Linked DNA regions of Mus musculus. The protein of the gene in region 2 interacts with the protein of the main gene of each other region in a pairwise test. Links are inferred from orthologs where the notes say so. Each region holds a gene or a part of one and is shown on either strand. Other genes may lie near its edges. The genes, in order: Fndc11, Trim27 and Pram1.

Region 1 (7,089 bases), on a different chromosome or scaffold from region 2:
AACTCTTCCATATTCTTACTAGGATAGCCCATTAAACCCCACTTAACATTCCACTGCTTTCCAAATCCAAAGTCCTCAAATCCACATTCTTCCAAACAAAAGCATGCTCAGGCCCTGGTACCAATATCTAAAGGTTTTACTGCTGTGAACTGACACCATGACCAAGGCAACTCTTGCAAAGGTTACCATTTAATTGGGGCTCTCTTACAGGATCAGAGGTTTAGTCCATCATCAAGGCAGGAGCATGGCAGCATCCAAGAGGGCATGTTGTTGGAGGAGCTGAGGGTTCTACATCTTGTTTAGAAGGCAACTAAGAGAAGACTGGCTTCCAGGCAGCTAGGATGAGGGTCTCAAAAACTCACACCCACATTAACACACTCCCTCCACACCTACTCCAAGAAGGCCACACTTCCTAATAGTGCTACACCCTGGGCCAAGCATATTCAAACCACTATAGAATTGGAGCTTAAGAAGAGAAGAAATCCCAGATCCCATTGGTAACAGAGGCACAAAGTATGGTGGAGGTGAGGCAGTGAGCCTTGAGGAAGGCATTAGCACTAATGGGCTCTGCACAGGTTGGGGAGTGGGCTATGTGAACCAGCTCCTAAGTACCTAGTACCTGAAGTAGCTTTGTTATGTGTCCACCTCTAGGTTACATCTCTCTGGACCTGATGGGGCACAAGACTGGGCCATGGTTGGGGATGGGAGTGCCAGGCTACTAGACCCATGTATGCTTCCCTTAGCCAGCCCCCATTCTAGGCCTCTCCTGTCTGATAGAGTTGCCATTACCTATACCTAGTCTCCACCCTACAACACACAGGCTATCCATTCTGGATCTCTAGGATGACTATCCTGTGAGATATCCATGAACAATTGGCACTTTGACCACATGCCACAGAGAATGACAGTCCTGATTTGTAGGAACCTTGGTTAGATATGTGGCTAGAGCTAGCTACCTGGCTTACTACCTAAGCTGAGCCCCAACAGGCCAAGCACATCCCCAGTGGGGAAAGTAGGAGGTCTTTATTACGCCCTGTCTTACCCAGAAAACTACTTTGCCAGTGGGGGAGGATTCCCTGTCCTTTACTACCCGATCACCCGCTCCTGCCAGGCTTGGCCATTTCAGAATGACTCCCACCCATGGTATATGTGGTAGGGAGGAAGCTGGGCTTAGAGTGTGCTGCATCAGTTCTTCATATTGCTTTAATCCATCCTTCTGCTTTGCCCGGAGGTGACTGAACCTGTATCTACCTCTTCTATCTCATAATTATTCTTCTCTGTGTGTGTGTGTGTGTGTTGACCTGGATGGAAGACCTTAATGTCGAGGTGTCCTGGACAGTAGTGAGGAATGTGGTTACCTGTGTGGGCTGAATACCATCAGCTAGCTACTGAGGTCAGCGCTGTAAGGGTGGTCACTTTTCAGAAGCTGTGCATCATCGAATGTCTTTGAGAGGTTCCCAGCCAGGCTTCCTCTCTGGGACCCTCACACATGTGGGGTGCCTATGGCACTTCATCTTACTTGGGGAGAGTGTAAGACCTTTATTTTAAAAGTAAGAAATCATGGTCCTGGGCATCCTTGTTTCCAAGGCAGCTGGGATGCTAGCACTAAAGCTATGACTGCCCTCAGTGGTGTCCAAACAGGCCCAAAGTATCATCTTCCTCAGAGAGCTCAACCTAGGAGGCAGGGAAAGAAATCTGGTTCTGGCTGTCCGGATGAGGGGTACATAAGGTGCTGAGGCTGAGGGGCTGAGTTCCCTTGAAGCAGCCAGGTACCGGTGGCCAGCTCTCTCTTGTTCTAGAGTCCAGCCGGGGGCTCTCCTGGAAGAGACAGAAGGCAAAGGGGTTCTGGGACTTGTGGGGTGTAGGGCCATCAGGAAAACACATAGCTGCTACTTTCTTAAGGCCTAAGTAGGGTTGTGTCTTTAATTTGGTGTGTGTATACTCCTCTTTATTAGTGGATAAATATTAGAAAATCATCTCTCAGAAGGTGTGGTCAGGGGCAGGCTGGGCTTACCCAGCCTGGGGGCAGGCCCCTCAGGGGGTCCTGGCGTGGTCTGCAAGGTGAGGCTGTCCCGCCAGGGCTCATAGACCAGGGTGTAGCTTTCTGCCCTCTTGATAGTGAACTTGTAGGTACGGTTGGGCAACAGGTTGTGGACATCAAAGGTGCAGGCAGCCACAGGGACTATGCCACACTGTGTACACTCCTGTTGTGTCCTGGGCTCCAACAGCTTGAAGCGCAGTTCATACTGCTCTGGTGCTGCCGGCTGGATGGTTACAAACCAGCGCAGGCTGACCCAGTCCTGATGCGCCACTGACTCCTTCCGGTCGAACATAACTGGCATCTTCGTGCTCAGCATAAGCCGGATGTGTGGGATTTTGGTGGCTCCAATGTCAGATACCAGGCGGTGCTTGACATGCAGGTGTCCTGGTACCATCATGGCCAGGAAGTTGTCCATGACAACTGATAGGTCTGCCAACTGCTGTTCCACAAGCCCCCAGCCTGCCAGGAAGGGCCGTGGGTCAGGGGCCTCAAGTAGGGCATCCAGTGCTGCCCGGCCATGGTCCAGCTGCTCCAGCAGGTCCCCAAGCAGGAGGAGCTGGATCTTGGTCTGTGCTGTGCCCACCTTCTTCATGCGCTGGAACTTCCAGGGATCAATGAGCTGGAACATGGTGTTAGGTAGCACCAGCGGGTTCTGGTCACCCAGGGCCAGGTGCTTAGGGAGAATCTCAATGTAGTAGGAGCACTTCTTGAGCAGCTGCATGCGGGCATGGTGGCGCTTGAGCAACTGGGGGCTCAGGTCTGTGGTCAGGAACTCACGCAGCACGTTGCGGCGCTCCATGTATGTCCTCCAAGCCTCTGGCTCCAGCAGCTGCTGGTCCTCTGCCTCCTCCACCTCCTCTGCGTCCAGGAAGGAATGTGGACTGTCCAGCTTCATTTTGTCCAGGGCCAGGCCTGTCACCTGGAAGTTCATTGTCTGGGAGCTGAGGGTAAGAACTAGGCATCAGCTGTGACCGTCAGATTGGCTCTGCCCCTCATCAGCCTCTGCCCCATAATGGCTTTTGCTCTCCCCTGGGACACAGCTTTCTGATCAGAGACCCCTGGAGGGGACAGAATAGTGGGCTGGGTACTGGGCAAAAGCAGATGATAAACGGGAAACTTCTATCAAGGGGCCAATAGTATTTTGTGGCGATGAGCTAATGGGGCTTATCAGACAGAGTGGGCTACAGGGACCAGAGTAGCCTGGGGAGAAGCTCTGGGATGTTGATTAGTTTTGAGACAGATCATAAGTCTCAGGTTCCTCACCTAACACAGGTCTGTGCCCAAGCTTAGGGTGATTCCCCATGCTTCCCAGTACTCTCCAGAGACCAGGTACACTGCAGGGGTGCAATGCTCAGGGACCAGGCTAACCAAAGACAAGACTCTACATCATCCTCACATAAAGGGGGGGGGGGGGACCTTGTGTGGCTAAGAACAGGGTAGATCCTCTCCCACCATCTCACAGATGGGGGTTGGGGGGAGTCTAACGCTAAAGCTTGTTAGGTTGGTCTTCCTTCATGGTCACTTTTGATTTTGACAGAACATCTCAGTCTGTTGTTCAGGCTGCCCTCCAACTCCTGTGCTCAAGCAGTCTTGGGACTCCAGGGGTGTATGCTCCTGTACCCAGTTTATCCCAAAGCTGGAACTGTTGACTCCAGAGTCAGCCCTCCTCTCCTTGTCCCCATACCTTTCCCCCAAATCTGGTTGTCTGTGGAGAGGCTGGTGTGCCACAAAGCCCAGTAGCCAGAGATCCCTGGAGAAGGTACCAACCTCCTGCTAGCTGTCCCTGGCACTGGGCCAGTGGCTTCACTTGGAAATCTCAGTTTGTGGAAACTGGGCTTGGATGAGCAAGAAACAGAGCTAAGAGACTGGATGACTACCTCAAAACCACACAGCTGGATAGTAAGATTGATCATGTCCCAAAGACTAATTCAAAGTGATTTGTGTGAATGGTGGTGCGTGCCGGGGGTGGGGGGTGGGGGGGGTTAGAACAGGCATCTGAGACAGCAGAGAATGGTTCCTGGCTGAATGCTAGCTGAGATCAGGGCCCCAAGACCCTGAGTCAACAGTTCATGGCCGCTAGAAAGCTCAATGGAAGTCTCCATAACTACTTCCCCATCTAAGCTATTCTATCACCCCTCCCCCTCCGTGGAGACTACCCACCCCGAGCTTCTGGGCACACCTCCTAAACTCCTCTACCTACCACTCCTCTTCCGGATCACCTCCGTGAGCCCCAGCCCCGCTCTGCAAGTGCCTGGCCGCCCGCTTCCTGTGCGGAGCCCAGCCAGAGCTGCAGGGTGCACTGCCAGATCCGCTCCCCCTGCCAAAGGCCTACTTGTTGCCATGGGAACCACTGGCCCTTGTGACGCTGTGCACATCCGGCCCAGGTGTAAGGAGCTCTTGATTTGAAGGCTAAATTTTGATATACGGCAGCAGCGATTTATGTCCAGGGCCTCACGGACTCGAAACAAACTCAACTTCAGCCCGCGCCACGGGCTAGTGGAATTGTTCCTCGGCATCGTGTTTCGCAGCAGTCCAGGAGCCTGCGGTGGCTGGGTCAGCAGCTTGGCTTGCAATGGGATTCTATGCAACGCAGGAAACTGGTGTCTTTGAGTGGGACAGAGCTGGCTGCTGGGACTCAAGAAGCCAGCAGATGCCAGTGGAGTGCAGGGAAGGGCCACCTGTTTGACATTCCAAGCCAAGCAGCCGCCTATGGGTCTCAAAGACGATGAGAAAGGAAGTGATATAGCAGCAGATGGCTAGGATCTCCTTAGCAAGCAGTCAGCAAGGTGAAGGGGTCTGGTTTTCCCAGGCCTCCAGAAACTCATGCCCTGTCCCCTCCAGTCTGAATAAACGGAGTCCATAGCTCTAGGAATCCTCAAAGGAATCCCCAAGTTGCAGTCTCATACTCCAAACTGGGCTTTGGACCCCTAGATTTAACACCCAGGTCCTTCCTCTTTATGAGCTAGCTTGGGGTTACTCCTAGCAAGGGTCTCAGGGTCTCAGCCACCTGAAAGCTGCTGACTCTTTTCCACTCGGTCAGTCCTTCTAGATTGGGTTTGTCTGGACTGAGTTACCTGGTTGTAACTCAAGTTTGCTACCAACTTGAATTATAGCTAGAGCTCCCAGCCCTCCTGATGGCATCTGACGGTGCTGGGGAATAGTTTTCCTATCTGTCAACCTATATTGGCTACAGACCTCAGAGGCCCCAGAGGGGGAGGGGGAGGAGGGAGAAGCGATGGGTGCTGGCTCTGTGCTCATCTAGGCTAGTTAGTCATGGTGGCCAGTTTGAGGGAGAAAGGGATGCCATCTGAAGGTCCAGGAGGGAAACTGGCCCCTGGGGAGTAGAAGAGAATAAAAAGCAGCAGGAAGAATACCAGCGCCCAGCTCTTCCTCAGGAAGGAGATGGGTGAGGCTCACTACCCTGTTCTTAGGGGTTGGGCTTGCTCTGGGTCTGTGAAAGCTGCTCTGCTCCACTTGATCGGTCTTTTTTTTTTTTTTTCCCAGTCCTAGTTTTAAAATTTTTAATTTTTTAGATTGATTTTTATGTATATGAGCATTTTACCTGCATGCCTGGTTCCCACAGAAGGCTGGTACCCACAGAGGTAGGAAGAGGACATTGGATCCCCTGGAACTGGAGTTAGGGATGGTTTTTATTTTTCTTTCTCTTTCTTTCTTTCTTTCTTTCTTCCTTCCTTTCTTTCTTTCTTTCTTTCTTTCTTTCTTTCTTTCTTTCTTTCTTTCAAGATTGATACATTTATTTTATGTGAGTACATGGTTGCTCTCTTCAGACACACAGGAAAGGGCATTACATTTCATTACAGATGGTTGTGAGCCACCATGGTTGCTGGGAATTGAACTCATGACCTCTGGAAGAGCAGTCAGTGCTCTTAACCGCTAAGCCATCTCTCCAGCCCTATTTCTTTCTTTTTAATTCTTTATTTTATGCTCAGTAATGTTTTGCTTGTATGTAAATCTGTGTGAGGGTGTCAGAAGCCCTGGGACTAAAATTATAGACAGGTTTGAGTCCCTATGTAGGTGCTAGAAATTGAACTTGGGTCCTCTGGAAGAGCAGCCTGTGCTGTTAACTGCTGAGCCATCTCTCCAGACCACAGGTGGTTTTTTGTTTTTTTGTTTTTTTGTTTTTGAAAAGTTAAAAATTCCTTAATTTTTTATTCCTGGTACCACTACCACAATTTACAGGGCAATATACCTGATGTAATGAAAAGAAAAAGAAAAAGACAAAGCTACAACAGATAAAAGACCTCAGGAATGTACATCTAATTGACACTACATTGCATTAATCAATAGCTGTACTTTTTGCAAACTGTGGCTATGACAGTCCTGAACAAGAAGGGTTTCCTGTTTAAGCTGCAGTAACTTTTCTGACTATGGATCATTGTTCCTTCTGTGGCAGATTTTTACAGTTCCTCTAATGCATTTGGGACGACTGTCTCAAAGTGACCTGCAGCTTTCCTGACAACTCCTTGCTCTCTCTCCTGCTAAGAACTGTAGCCATTTCTGTTTTATTTTAAAACCTTCTGCTACCATATCCCCCACTTCCACCTCCAGATCCATAGCCACCACCATAGGGACTGCCTGAGCTTCTTCCACCAAAACTGCCCCCCTTCATGGGTCCATAATTTGATTGTTGCTGTCCACTATAATTTCTAAAGTCATTATAGTTTCCACCACCACCATAGTTACCTCCACCAAAATTTTCTCCTTCATTGTAACCATCATAGCCTCCTCCTCCTCACCATATCCACCACCCTGGTTTCCATATCCTGGTCCACCACCTCCATAACCTCCTCTACTACTGTAACCAGGACCACCACCATAGTTGCCACCATCACCTCCAAATCCATTATATCCACCATCACCACCTCCATAACTACCTCTGTTGCCACCACCTCCACCACCATAGCCACCTCTTCCACCAAAGTTTCCTCCACAACCAAAGTTTCCTCCACCACCTCCAAAGTTTCCTCCACGACCCATAAAGTTGCCAGGTCCACCTCCACGACCTCTCTGTGATCCAGCAGACTGCA
Region 2 (7,089 bases):
CAACCATCCGTAATGAGATCTGATGCCCTCTTCTGGAGTGTCTGAAGATAGCTACAGTATACTTACATATAATAAGAAAGAAATAAATCTAAAAAAAACAACAACAACAAAAGACAAACAAACAAACAAACAAACAAACAATGGAAGACGAGACAGGAAGGCAGGCAGTAGTAGTTCATCTACTGTGGTCTTTCCCTGGAGAGCACTTGGCTTCCCTCAGTTATACCAGCACAGGTCAATTATAGCAACATTCAGGTTAACTACCTGCTCTCCACTCAGTATTCTTGCCTATGGTTAAAATATATGTCTATATTACAATTGCTGGATGATGAAAGGGTCTTGAATGACCTGTGGCTCAAATGCTTTATTATACATAATCTATTCTGACTGAGCAAATGAGATTAATGAGGCCCTAAGACTGTAAAGGAAAGTGCAGGAGAGACCCAAGGACTAGGTTTTTCTTTTGCCTTTTCCATACACAATGCAACTGAAGAACTGAGTAGTGTCAACCACAACTTCTAGCATACGCGTTTTCCTTCCAAAATGCTTAACACTTCAGCTGTTAAAGAAGGACACAGGGAAGCATCATGCTGCCTGATGAGGTAAAAGCTGCTGTCCTGCAGTGCTCTCTTGGTTACCTGTAAGAGCTCCCGCGTGGGCTGCTGCTGCTTCTCTTCCAGTTGGGCAATCAGGCCACTGAGGTGGGAGATGTTGCAGGAGAACTGAGTGATGGCCCCGTTGATGCTGTTATAGATGGCCAAGTCGAGCTCCTCAAGGCGAGCCAACAGGCGGTACTCATGCTCCTTCAACGAGTGATAGAGCTGCTCAAACTCCCAGACAATTTTTTCCCTCTCCATCTGAGTCAGGCTCTGTGAATGACAAGCAAAGGTAAGAAGAGGAAAGGCTCACTGCTAGAATCCCTCAAGATAATCTCCATGATTTAACCCCAAGATCTCACCATTTCAAATTATACTAAAATACACACTATACTCACCCACTCACTTTCCAGTCTTTACACACCAGATACACAAAGACCATGAACTGAATTACTTCAAATATTAAGAAACAGTCCCTGATCTTAAGGGACCCGGTCTAATCAGAATCAGGTCCATCTACATCATGGATGAGTGAAGACATCGTGGGAGAAACTGAATAGTCTTCCTAAAATCTGTGTTCACGCAGGGTCTTATAGACTGCCATGTAAGCATGAACTAGATAGGCTTTCTAGGTGAGCAAATGGTACAGGCTACCAAGTGGGGGGCGAAGGCACATCACATTGTTCCACATGACTGGAGCCCATGAGCATCTTGCCTGGCAGACTGAGCGTCATCAAACAGCCATACAGAAGTGTCAGGGCTAGGTGTGCACTCTGTGGACGTGACCTGGTATGATCAAGCAAAAGTTTCCTGGACTTGTTTACTTGGTCTCAGTAAGCCATGCCCTGATTTTTTGGGGGAGTCTTTATGGGTTCCTCTCCACACAATGTCTCTATTACGGTTTGTCCATCTTTCCTTTATTTCTTTCTAATTCCTCCTTCCTTCCTAGCACTTGGAAGGCAGACATGGGAAGACTGGAACTTCAAGGTCATTCTTAACTATATAATGTATTTAAGATAAAAAAAAACCTAGAGCTCTAACTAGGAAATTATAAACCACGCAAGGCAGTGCATATCCACACTCCCAGCACTTGGGGGGAGACTAAGGCAGGAATATGGAGAGTTCAAGCCCATCCTGGCTGCACAGTGAAACTATTTCTAAATAAGTGGTCAGCAAGATGGCTCTAGAGCAGTCAAGAAAGATTTTACTTGAATCCAGCCAAACCTACTCATTTATGTATTACACACGGCTGTTTTTGACATGCACTAACTGGGGTGCTGTGATTCGGCTTGTGTAAACTAACAAAGCAAAACTACTTACTACTGGCTCTTTTCAGAAAGTTTGCTAAAACCTGACCTGAACTCAACTGCTCCAAGAGCCCTCTACTCAGACCTCTTTTAAGCTGGATAAGTCTTTCAAAGTCATAAAGCACACAATATAATCTTAGGTAACATTAAAGCTAAAAATAAATTCATGCAATGTATCCAAAGCAGTGTGACTTACACCCTGGCACAGGTGTTTCTTACTGCAGGCCACTTGGCAGCCTCGTCTCACTTCCACACACTGTCTCTGATTCAACCCAAAACACGTATTTCAAGGGAAGAAGCGGCAGCACTGGCTGCTGGAGATCCACAGGTTTCTTAGGTCTGACCTCTATTCCAACAGAAAGAAATTAAGGCCCGGAAAGCCTGCACCCACTCCACTTAAACTGGCTAGTGTCTGACCCAAGAAGCAGGCCCAGGGTTCGGGATTCCCAGGGGCTAGTTCTCTCTGGACAAACCTCCCAAAGCTGATAGGCTCTGCTTAGAGGCTTCTCACTACACCCCTGCCAAGGCCGAGAACTGTCAGGGATTTTCAGAGCAGTTCAGAAGCTTACTATCCTAATGCAATCAATTCCTCTGCAGGCTGGAGATCTGGACCCTTACCAAAAGCTCAGCTCGGGCCTGCTCCCCCTGTGCCCGCCGTCTCTTCTTCAAGTCTTTCACTCTTCTTAGGTGGTCCAGTCGGTTCTGGATTTGCTCCTGAAGAAAGTAAATAGTCGGCCAGTTCAAGATTTTGCAGATCTCAGCATCAGAATACTCTGCTTTTCACACATGAACCCAAACTACAGATGCCAAGGCCCCGCTGGACTCTCTTCTCAGACCATAATGCCACTCCTGGGAAGAGCCCAAAGCACAGGGGCCAGCAAGTGTGTTAGCAATTTGTTATTTAAACTCTAGCCACCTACCAGTTCCTAGAAGCGGTTACAAGACATCTGGGTAAGGAGGCTCAAAAGGTAAGCTATTTCTCAGATGAATACAGAAAAAAAAAAAAGATTTATTTTCCTCAAAGAATCAGTAAACATTACTAAATTACAACTTATCTCCAGCGAGTGAAATGATACAGGTGACAGCTTTGTAAACGTGACTGACATTTGGATGAACTCACACTTAAACAAATATATAACTCTGTTGGTATAGATCCCTGCAGCCCTCAAGATCATTATCACTTCAGAGCTACTTTATATGTAACGTTTTCGTACTACTGTGTAGCTGTGCCAGTGTTTATTCAACACTCCACAAAGGTCCTGTGAGTTCACTTCCCCTTCACAATAAGCCATCTCCCGAGTCTGAGAGTGGCTAAATGATTTACTTAAGCAGTAAAAAGCTCTGTTCATTTCCATTCAGTTCTAAAACAGGTTTACAGGGAAGTGCTGGGGACACAGATTAAGTGATGGGCACTGCTCGATGTGAATTCAGCCAGCCAACAGTGACTGTCTGGCTTGGTATCCTGGGTCAGAGCGAGTTCGAGGCGTTCAAGGCCTATGGAAGTGTACTTGGCTCCATGTGCATCTCCTTTGTCAAGGGAGGGTCTCCTCGCGCCGTCCCAGTCGCGGCACGCGTAGAGGCGGTTAGCAGGGGCGCTCGGGGTGGGGGTGGGGGTGCTCCTGGCCTCGCCAGCTACAGGTTCTCCTTCCCAGTCTGAGTGCGGAGGCTCCGCAGCCGACAGGGAGGAAATGACGGCGGTGGGCCCCACGTCCGGCTCGCCATTTTCTCGGTATCAAACCAGGAAGCCCCCGGCTCGCCCCTTTGTCCGCCGGCCCGGCCCTACCTTGAAGCCCTCCACCGCCTCCTCCAGGGGCAGCACGCTGTGGCCGCGGTGCTCGCGCGAGCGGTCGCACACCACGCAGATGGGCATCTGGTCCTGCTCGCAGTACAGCTTCAGAGGCTCCCGGTGCTTCTCGCACACGCCCATCTCGCCGCCGGGCCCCGACGGCCGCTCGGTGCGCAGCTGCTTCACCAGCTGGGTCACGTTGGCCAGGTGCCGGTTGGGTCGCATGTGGCGCTGCGGGAAGGTCTCCCGGCACTGCGGACACGACACGTTAGTCTCCGCGGCACCCCAGCAGCGGGCCAGGCACGCGCAACAGATGTTGTGGCCGCAGTCGAGCATCATAGGCTCCACGAAGTACTGAAGGCACACGGGGCAGGTGGTCTCCTGCTGCAGGCACTCGGCCACGCTCCCGGAGGCCATGGCGCGGGCCGGCTGGGCCGCAGGGCATGAGCCCGGAGCCGAGCTCTGTCGGAGCTCAGCGCGCTCGCTCCGCTTCTCGGCTCCGGAGCGGGGCGGGGCCTCCGGCGCGGGGATCGCAGACGCGCGCGGAGCTCTCGGGCGGCCAGACCCGTCCCCGCACAGCTGCTCCTCACCGACAGCACGGGGAGGAGGCCTGGGCCCCGGAGCCCGGCTGAGAGCCGAGCCGAGGGGAGTCGGGAACCGGGCGCCGCGGGCTGGCTCACCGGGCAACGTGGCCGCGTCGGAAGGGGTCCCGCGGCCGCGCAGACTCCTCAGGGCCGAGCGGAAGAGGTGGGCCGGGGGCGGGGCCTGGCTTCCCGCGCCGCTCTGCTCTCTCGGGGCGGGAAAGCGGGTTTCCTCTGCACAGTCCTGGGTCCCCGGCACCCAGCCCGGGAGTCGGTCGTGGCTGTCGCGTGCAGTGGGAGCAGAGTGTCCCCTGGCAGTGGCGTCGGGTCACTCCAAGCGTCTGTGGGCCCGTAGTCTTCTGCTGAGTTTCCTCTTAGTGGCTAGGCCTCGGCTCCTTTAAAAGTAAGATGGCTTTGCATAAATGCCGGAAAGCTGGGCGGGGAGACCAGCTAGGCCCCTCCCAGTGTGACACACCCAGCTCCAGGCGTTAACAATCGCTAGAAAAGGGTTTAATCATCAGCAACTTTTCTCAGGGGCAGAAACGGAGAAGCCCAGTTCTATCTCCACCCTAAAGTAAATCGGTTTATCGTTCCGAGCCTCATTTTCTTCTCGTGTGAAATGGGGACCGATCGAATCCCGACCAGAGTGCTGACCAGACCATGAAGTCCTCCCCCATCTCCCTAGCTCTACCGTTACTAGGGAGCCACCCCACCGAGAGCCCGCTTGTGAGTCCCTAACTTCTTCTCAGGCTCCTCAGGTGCCCAGTGTCTCACTTCCTCAAGTGAGTAGCCAGACCCGACGTGTCAAAGGGCTGCCTGGCGACACACTTCTCTCTCGTCTTCCCTGCCACCTGCTGAGGAACCTACGTGGCTGTGGGTTCCTATGAGACCCTCGAAGAAACAACCCGGATTCTGCCACGTGGGCCTCATTCTCAGAACACTCCCCCACCCCCACCCCCACCCCCACCCCTCACCTCCAGCCTGGGCCCTGCGGCGCTGGGGCCAAAAATTCTGATTGTCCACTGTAGTGTTGTCCTTCTGCCCATGACGTTAATAACTCTTCTAATAAGTTCTTACTCCCAGCAATCTAGTTCAGTGCCCTCCTTGAGCTCCCATACCCTATTGCTTTCAGGAATTTTCCCCATCAAGGAGTTACACCTTTTTAAACAAACAAACAAACAAACAAACAAACCACAGCTTGAGCATAAAGATCTTTATCCGCTAGTTTAAATGAAGCACCCAGTACATCGAATGACATTGAGTAGAACCTAAAACTTGCTTGTTTCTGCCCAATCGAGAGTCCTGTGATGACCGGAGGAGGTCTTGTAGCCTGGTTTCTTATCACAGAATAGGTTTTCAGTTCTGTGCGCTGTCACTTATGCCATGGCCTTTCCTACTCTCCTTTGGGATTGACTCCGTGCCTGCCCTTGTGTTTGAGCAACAGGGAATTTCTGTATCCAGGCCATCACTTCACTGGATTCTGCTTGATTCTTCCCTATGGGACAAGAAATCCGAGGTACTTAACAAGTCTCGCTCATCCAAACCTCCATTCTCCCCACCTGCTCTTTGAAACTCCAGGCTCAAAACAACTCAGCACACTTCCAGTAAATGGTAGAATATTTGTCCTAGGCTACACTGTAGTCTACTCTGCTACAAAACTGAAGTTGAAAGGAATTGAAAGTGCCAGTCTTACTCCAGAAGGAAGAATTCAGTTTTGCAAGCCGGTGTAGAACTATGAAAAATGCAGGTGGCAGATATGTGTTCTTAGGTCATCAGTGCGGCTCTGGATTTTAGCTTTGTCATCCAGGGCTCATGCGGTCTCTGCTTTCCTAACCTCAAGGCAGATGGCCTGGACAAGCCAGGTAAGTAGGGCAAGGTGGAGGAAGTAGGGGAAAGGAAGCGCTCCCCCTTCCAGGATTGCTACAGGCTCCCTCCTTTCTCAAGCGATAACTGTTTTCTCTTTCTCCACTAATTTAGTAGGCTTGTCATGAGCTTTATGGCTGAGTTGCCTACTCATTTCCAGTGTTTTCAGTGTTAGAGCTCGAACCCAGGACGTTAAGCTAGGCAAGTGCTCGTCTCAGACCCATCCACGCAGTTTTTGTGTTTGTTCCTCCACCTTGGCCTAAATTATTGCAATACCTTATCTGTTTGCAAATGACTTGGAAATGATTCAGTAGTTAGATGAATGAAATTGCTGCTATGAATTTTTTTTTAATCAACTATAGTTGTCAGAGAAACCCTGCTGCTAAGGTTGATATCTGACATTACCAAAAACCACTGAGCTTGGTACAAAATGGTGGACTCCCTTTGTCAGCAGGGCTTCTTCTTCTCTGACCTTGTCTGGAGAGCTTAGAAATGCCCTCCTCCCCCTTACCATCTACCTGAAGAACTGCACGTAGCAGTGGTGAGATTACAGGTTCTCCTTCCTCCACGTAAAAACCTGTCCAGCAAGCACCTGAGATTCCTGGAATGCCTCCCTAGGCTAATGAGGCATCTCTACCTAGCCTTCAGCCAGTGACCTTTGTCCACCCTGGAGATCCCTACTTCCTTCTGCAACGATAGAGAGCCCTTGGTTCCCCTGAATAAAGTTGATCTGATGCTGGACTGTCATTTCCGTTTGTATTCACAAGCCTTTTGAAACCCTGTTCATCGGCTCTGCCCACTTTATCCTGGTGGGCTGGTGGAGAATGACACCAGGGAAAACCACATATGGTAACAATACCTAGTATAGTTGCTAACCTTTATACACTTATGGGAACAAAATAAGAATTCTGAATTGTTTAGTCATCTGATAGGGGATGAGTATCCTTAATATATGA
Region 3 (7,089 bases), on a different chromosome or scaffold from region 2:
TAGTGCGGGCTTGGCTGGGGGGTGTCCCAGGCTGCTGGCTGAGGGCAGGGGCCGCCGTCGGGGTGGGCGCTGGACTTGGAAGTCTTCTGATCTCCAGCGGGGTATCCCAGGGACTATAAGCCCAGGGCTGAGAGGGCACTGGGGGCTGGAGCCCGCACTAGCAGAGGGCAGGGAGCATTCAGACACTGAACCAGGAAGCTTGGGCTTTCTAGGCAGACCCTTGGGGAACTCAGGCTGGAAGAACTTGCCGTGTTGAGGCTGCAGAAACTTCCTCGGGAGCGAGTTGAACTCGGGGTCCGAGGATGTTCTAGGGAGGTGACCCAATTCTGGCTGTGAGGGCTTCTGAGAAAGCACATTGGGGTCTGGCTTCTGAGTCTTTTTGGGAACCTTGCAGACTTCAGGCTCCGAGGATGCCCTGGTAAGGTCACTTGGCTGGAGCTGTGGATGCTTCTTAGGGAATGCATTGAAGTCTGGCAGCGGGGAGTGAGACTGGGGGTTACATGACTCAGGCTTCCGAGGGGGTGTCTGGGGGAACTCATAGAACATGGGCTGCTTTGGGGACTTGGGGCAACCAGTGGCTTGAGGATATGAAGGTTTCCTAAAGTTCTCATTGTTCTTAGGAAAGGTACTGATGTCAGGCTGTGGGGAGTGAGAGTCAAGCTCCCTGGACCCACACTTAGAGGGGGATGTCTGAGAAACTTCGATGGACTCTGACTGTGGCTGGGACTTCCTAGAGAAACCAACAACAGCCTCAGGCTGCAGTGGCTTCTTGGGAAAAGTACTGGATTCAGATGGCAAGGGCCTCTTAGGTGCCTCATTGGCCTCAAGGTGCCAAAACATCTTGGGTTTGAGCTCTCCTAGAGGCCTGGCAGGATTGTTAGGCTCGGGCTTCAGGAGCTTCTGGGCAGGAGGAGCACTAGGCTCCTGGGGTGTCTCAAGCTGTGGAGGTCTCTTGGAGAGCTCTCCAAACTCAGGTTTTGGGGGCTTCTTGGGGAGGCTGGCAAACTGGGGCTGTGGGGGCTTCTTGAGATCTGTGAACTCAGCCTGGGAAGGCTTTTTGAGACCTGTGAACTCTGGATGTAGAGGCTTCCTTGGGAATTCAGCCTGTACAGGCTTGTTGGCTAGATGAGGGAACTCAGGCTGTGGTGACTTTTTAAGAACTCCAGGCTGTGGGGGCTTCCTGGGGAGGTCTGCAAACTGCAGCTGCAGTGGTTTCAAAGACACTGCACTGAGCTCAGACTGTGAGGACTTCTTGGGCTGCTCACTTAACTCAGTCTGTGGAAATTTCTTCAGGACTTTGTTTAACTCAGGCTTTGGGGTTTTTCTGAACAGTTCTCCAAGTTCTGGCTGAGAGGTTTGGAACTTAGCTTGGAGGTTTCGGAAGTCCTGATTGCTCCCCTAAAAGACATGGGTCATTCAGGAAGGCTCTCATCACAAGGCGGCAGATGGAGAAACGGTTACAGTTGGTCACAGGCACACAAACCCATCACCCTCCTCTTCCCTTAGGTTCTCATTCTAACTTTGGTTCTTCCCCAATCTCAGCTTCTCTTTTTGGGTAAGAACTACTCCTGTCCCCAGGTTCCTGGAACCCACGCCCTCCAGACTCCTCCACCTAAGCTGTGTCTAACCTCTAACAGGACCTAACTACTTATTCCTTTCTACTAGCCCATGGCCCACGCTTCTGATCAACAATATCTTCAACCTTTGTGCTTTGTGCCACTGCTCCCCCTTGACCTCTCTTTGCCCTCTGCCTGATCACCGGTTCTCCCCAGTCCTTTTTTTTTTTTTTTTCCTGATTTCAAAATACATCCGGAATTCAACTACTTCTCACTGTCACCCCAAGTAGAGGAACTGCCCTCCACAGTCCAGATCACTGTAATGGGCTCCTCCTCCGTGGTCTGCTGCCCTAGAGGAGGCCTATAAAGTGTCTGCTCCCAATCTCTCAGCGAGTTCATCTCTGAGGAAAGCAAACAGTCCCTGAATGACTCAGCAGTGGTCCCCCCACCCCGCCTCTGTCCTGTCTGTAATGCATACCACTCAATGCATGGGTCTCTCCTCTTCCTCCTCTGTGTCTTTATGATAATGCTCCTTAAGGGTGACCTCGGAGATAACCCCATTTTAAATCAGTTTTCTCTTCCCAGTTGCCCACAGTCACCAACATTTTCTACTCTCTTTGTCTCCCATTACCTATGAAGTTTTTTATATTAGTTCTTATATTAGGGTTGTTTTGAGGATTTTTATTTTTGTGGTGTTAGGGATGGAACTTAGCACCTTGCTAAACAAGCTCTAGCAATGAACTATATCTTCCCAGTGATGAGGGTTTTTTGTCATCGTCCTCTCCTCCTCCTCTTCCTCCTCCTTTTTTTTAATTTGTTTTTTGAAGCAGGGTCTCATATATCCTGGGCTGGCCTCAAACTTGCTTTATAGTTGAGGATAACCTTCTGCCTCTGCCTCCCATGTGCTGAGATTACAGGTGTGTGCCACCATTAGTTTAGCTTGCTTGCTTGCTTTTCTTTTTCTCTTCTCTCTTCTCTCCTCTCCTCTTCTCTCTTCCTCTCCTCGCCCCCCTCTCTTTTTCTTTCCTTTCCCTTTCCCTTTTCCCTTTTTCCTTTTTCCTTTCCTTTCCTTTTTTTGTTTTTTGTTTATTTTAAGTCAGTTTCTCACTATGTAGCCCAGGCTGGGATTCAACAGTTCTACTGCTTCAGCCATCTGAGTGCTGGCATTACAGGTGTATACCACCATACCCATTTTGACTATAAATTGTTAAAATTTAGTTGGGGGGACTAGAGAGATTTCTCAGTAGGTAAAGTACTTGTCATGCAAGCCTGAGTTCTAGCTTCAGTACTCATACATAACAAAGTCAGGAGCAGTACCTGTCATCCTAGTTAGCTCTGGAGAGCTTAGGCCAGGAGGCCCTCTAGGGCTTGTTGGCTAGCCATTCTAACTAAGTTAACAAGCTCTACATACATCTATCTAAGATGTGGGTATTAGGTGTCATAGTCCCTGACATGTCTCATGAGGACCAGAAGGGAGGCTCCCCAAATGTACAGGCACTATATGATATGTTTAGAACATTTCTGGTGCTCTCAAGTCTGACCTGCTCTTTGCCATAGGTGCTGGTAGATATCCCCAGCCTATCTTCACCAAGGGTAAAAAAGATTGGAGGACAGAGAGGACAGAACCTTGTAAATCTATCTAGAGATGGACTCAGAAGGATCTCTGGGAAGGAAGCAATTCTTGCCTGGGGTCAGACATTTCTTTGTTGAAGCCCCAGTCTAAGTGAGTTGATGACCACAAGGGTAGATAAGGAAGGGTTTAGCAGAGCACAGCTTGGGTAACGGACTGGAGATGGGGACTGGTGTAGCAGGTGCGTGACCCATTTAATCACTTCACAGGAAACCTCTGCTTATATCCCAGCTGCTGACCTGGATTGAGGGTATATCATTCCAGGCAGACCCAACCAGCACCACACTGCCTTGCAGTCACAGATACAAAGCTGGTCCACAAGAGCTCAAGCTATTATGCCTTGGTTGTTTCTTATCTTTTCCTGTGCCATCTCATCCCCAAGACTGTTCTAGCTCTGTTCTGCTAGGTTACCCATGAGGGCATATTTACCAGTTCCCCAGTTTCTACTTGGGACCCTTGTTACCTGAATGAACTTCCAATGGGGGCTTGAGGACTCACCATGGCTTCAGGGGATGATGAACCACAGGGTGAATGAGCTCTGAGCTTAGGCTTCTGCCTTGAGGAAGTTAAGTGTGGTTTCTGCTCCACGGGCTGACACACCAAGTCGGAGCTGTTGGGCTGGGGAGGGCAGAGGAGGAAGGAGGCGGAGATAGCCTTTCTGTCCCCTCCTTGAGTTCCTGCCTGTCCACTACTGTCCCCAAAGTCAGGTCATTAGACCTAAGCACATCTATAAAGCACAAGTTTCCTAGCTCCTACTAGCCTCTTGATTCCCTATTGTCCCCCTTAGTTTTAACACTTTGGGGTCCTGACAAGCTTTGTCTCTGAAGAGGCAAGCTTAGGACAAACTCAGGACAGTCACAGCACCTTAGTGGGGATTTTATGGCTTTCTCTGGGTCTTAAGACGTCTCTAAAGAGGTAGACCTAGGATATGGCTGTTGCAATGGTGAGGACATATCTGTCCTCCTGTATTGCTTCATCTACCTTGTTTCACCATTTGTACTCTCAACAGGACTTCCCTGTTAAGGTGACAAATGCCCCATCAGCCAGGGCTATGCACCCAAAGCATCATCAACTGGGATAAGCAGACTTATGGGTGGGTGGCATTAAAAGATGTCTAAGTCCTGGGCTGAAGGGACATCACTGTTGCTGTGAAGGTATGGGGTTTTAGGACCTCTCAAGTTCACAGTGGTTAAAGGAAGCAGAGAGAGGAGAAACAAGAAAACTGGATTGCAGGAAAATGAAGCCCAAAGTGGGACAAAGGTAGATATAGGAAAGGAGAGCCCTGACACGTGATTCAGTCCACAGGAACAAAGAACACTCAGCAGGGTTCAGAGGTATGATTCTCAGTTTGGGAACAGAATAGAATTCTTTGAGCTGTTAAAAAAATATCTTCCAGAGATTCTGATGTCACCAGTCTGGGATGTGGTCCAAGGAGGAGGACTACTTACACCCTAGCAGGATGGTTCTGGTGTATAGATGAGTGTACATGTGTCTATGTCCCTGGAGTCACAAAGTACATGCTCTAAGCAACTGGCGTAGTGGTGCATACTTGTAATCCCAGCAGAAGCAGGAAGTTCACTACATTTCCAAGGTTAGCCTAATCTACATAGTGAATTTCAGGCCAGCCAGCACTACATAATGAGACCCTGACTCAGAAACGTAACCAAAAAAGTACATGTTCTACCCAGGTATAGTGGCACACATCCGTAATCCTCGCATGTGGGAGAAGAGGATATTAAGTGCATGACCATCCCCCGGCTGGAAAGTTGAGACCCTGTGAAGGAAGATAACATAAACTAAATCCAAAGTTTGTAGCTCTGTTGGTAGTGTACTTATATAGCATGTACAAAGCCTTAAATCTGATTTCTAGAATCTCATAAAACAGCACTTGGGAGTTAAAAGCAGGAGGATTGGAAAGTCTGGTAGTTTAAGGCTATTGTTGCAGTGCCTTGTAAAAATACAATGAAGCCGGGCAGTGGTGGCGCACGCCTTTAATTCCAGCACTTGGGAGGCAGAGGCAGGCGGATTTCGAGTTCGAGGCCAGCCTGGTCTACAAAGTGAGTTCCAGGACAGCCAAGGCTACACAGAGAAACCCTGTCTCGAGTAAAAGAAAAAAAAAAAAAACCCACAATGAAAACCAATCTTAGAAACAAAATAAATATATGTTTTGACTTAGGTGATGGGCCTGCTGTTGGGTATTATAAGGCTGATAGAGTAGCAAGAACTTGTATAACTCTTGGGAATGAGCCAGGTATGGTTTCAGCTTATTTAAATGGAAATAAAGCAGCTTAGGTTGAGAGGCACACCTTCCTTATTTTAGCACATAGCATCAAGATTCTGATGCTTGTTTTCCTGTCTTGGGTCACAGTTCCTAGAGACGAGTCTGCTTTTATAGGAGTCTCAAGTGGATAGTTTCCAGAATCTTGGTGAATGGAGTCAGGTAGAAATATGAAAGAAGCCACGCCACGCCTATAATCCCAGGTACTGGTTGAGAATATGGCTGGTGGATGTCAGATTCAATTCAGGTTTGGTAACTGAGTGGAGACCCAATCTCAAAACCGAAAACAATGAGTCAGTGAGATGGCTAGGGGTTGTGGTTATGGTTAAAACATTTGCCACACAAACTGGATGACCATAGTTCGATTCCTGGAACACATGTAAGGTGGAGGGGAAAAACCAACCCCACAGCTGTCCTCTGATCTTTATGCTGGCCTGAAAGCACACAGTAGGCCATCAAGGCCAGCACAAGCTAAAGGATTGAACGGCAGGAGACCCAACAGGGGAGAATGCAGGGTTGTTGGTAACCTCCCAGCATGGCTGGCAGACTGTATTTGACCTGCATGAGGATGACCTGGTGGCCCTAACTAAACTATGGAACTAGAAGTCTAAAACAATGGAGGGCCAATTATTGTGGTGTTCCTGGAAGATCTGGGAGTTCTTTGAAGGAGGGAGCGGGAGCGTGGTCCAGAGGCATGAGCTGGGATCCACCTGGGGTTGTTGCTGCTCTCCACTTCTCTTAGGATAAATAGAAGCAATTCCACATCCCTCAGGTGACAGATCTGTTAGTGCATAATTGCCACGAGGTAGCCTGAAACCTGAGTCTGCAGACAAATCTCCAGGAATTTCTCCATCTATTCAAGTCAACCTGAGCAGCTGCATAAGTTCCTGCCAGCAGATACTTTCCCCACACTGACACTCTTGGGTGTTGTCTGCTGGAAAGCTGGGGCACTAGGATGACTTCATTGTTTAGGTGGGAGGTGGAGGTAGAACACTGTGGAGTTCCAGTTTAAAGAGAAGGAGGTTGGGGATTATGGGAGTTCAGGAGCAGGAAGTGGGGTGCACAAGCGTGGGTTGAGCTGCGGATGGGGATCCCCAAGGCATCCCAGAAGAGCAAAGACTGGGCATGTGTAAAGCAGTAAGGATAGCTACTTTGGGCAGCAAATGGAGTGCAATGGAAGTTCTGTATGTCCCTGGTATCTGACCCCCCTGTACTAAGTTTCTGGGACAGGAAATCTCAGAATCCCCGAGTCTTTCTACTCAACCTCTCTCATCCAGAAGATCCCATTCTGTGTGGGTGCATGAATCTGTGCCTATGTTTGCAGAGGTTAATGGCTGCCATCAGTGTCCCACTTACTTTTTGAGACAAGGTCTCCGAACTTGAAGCTTACTATTTACTAGACTGGCCGACCAAGCAGCCCTAGGTATCTACCCACCTCTTTCTTCCTTTCCCTAACCATTTGCTATTTACTCTTTTACTTTGGCTTAATAAACTCATTCAAAACCAAGTATGGCTGCTGTAAATTATTCTCTGGTTCCTACAAACTGTAGTTAAATAGAAGGTAGGAGGGTTGTGACAGGGATCCAGGGCCTAGAGGACCTAGCTTAGCAGGTGACTAATGTCAC

Evidence for each region.
Region 1: the proteins of Trim27 (region 2) and Fndc11 interact in binary tests that used the Homo sapiens proteins (3 or more experiments, as listed by UniProt). The two-hybrid records come from large-scale screens. The link is inferred for Mus musculus from reciprocal best matches to the Homo sapiens genes TRIM27 and FNDC11.
Region 3: the proteins of Trim27 (region 2) and Pram1 interact in binary tests that used the Homo sapiens proteins (3 or more experiments, as listed by UniProt). The link is inferred for Mus musculus from reciprocal best matches to the Homo sapiens genes TRIM27 and PRAM1.

The regions. Positions count from the first base shown.
Region 1 is NC_000068.7:181,217,287-181,224,375, reverse strand, and holds Fndc11 (fibronectin type III domain-containing protein 11), read right to left. Parts: upstream 4,343-7,089; 5' UTR 4,242-4,342; intron 2,983-4,241; 5' UTR 2,973-2,982; coding exon 1,974-2,972; 3' UTR 1,927-1,973; downstream 1-1,926.
Region 2 is NC_000079.6:21,177,512-21,184,600, reverse strand, and holds the start of Trim27 (zinc finger protein RFP), read right to left. Parts: upstream 4,671-7,089; 5' UTR 4,107-4,670; coding exon 3,687-4,106; intron 2,618-3,686; coding exon 2,522-2,617; intron 870-2,521; coding exon 639-869; intron 1-638. UniProt on the Homo sapiens protein: E3 ubiquitin-protein ligase that mediates ubiquitination of various substrates and thereby plays a role in diffent processes including proliferation, innate immunity, apoptosis, immune response or autophagy.
Region 3 is NC_000083.6:33,634,773-33,641,861, reverse strand, and holds the start of Pram1 (PML-RARA-regulated adapter molecule 1), read right to left. Parts: upstream 3,807-7,089; 5' UTR 3,688-3,806; coding exon 3,685-3,687; exon of another isoform or gene 3,650-3,684; intron 1,399-3,649; coding exon 1-1,398. UniProt on the Homo sapiens protein: May be involved in myeloid differentiation. May be involved in integrin signaling in neutrophils. Binds to PtdIns(4)P.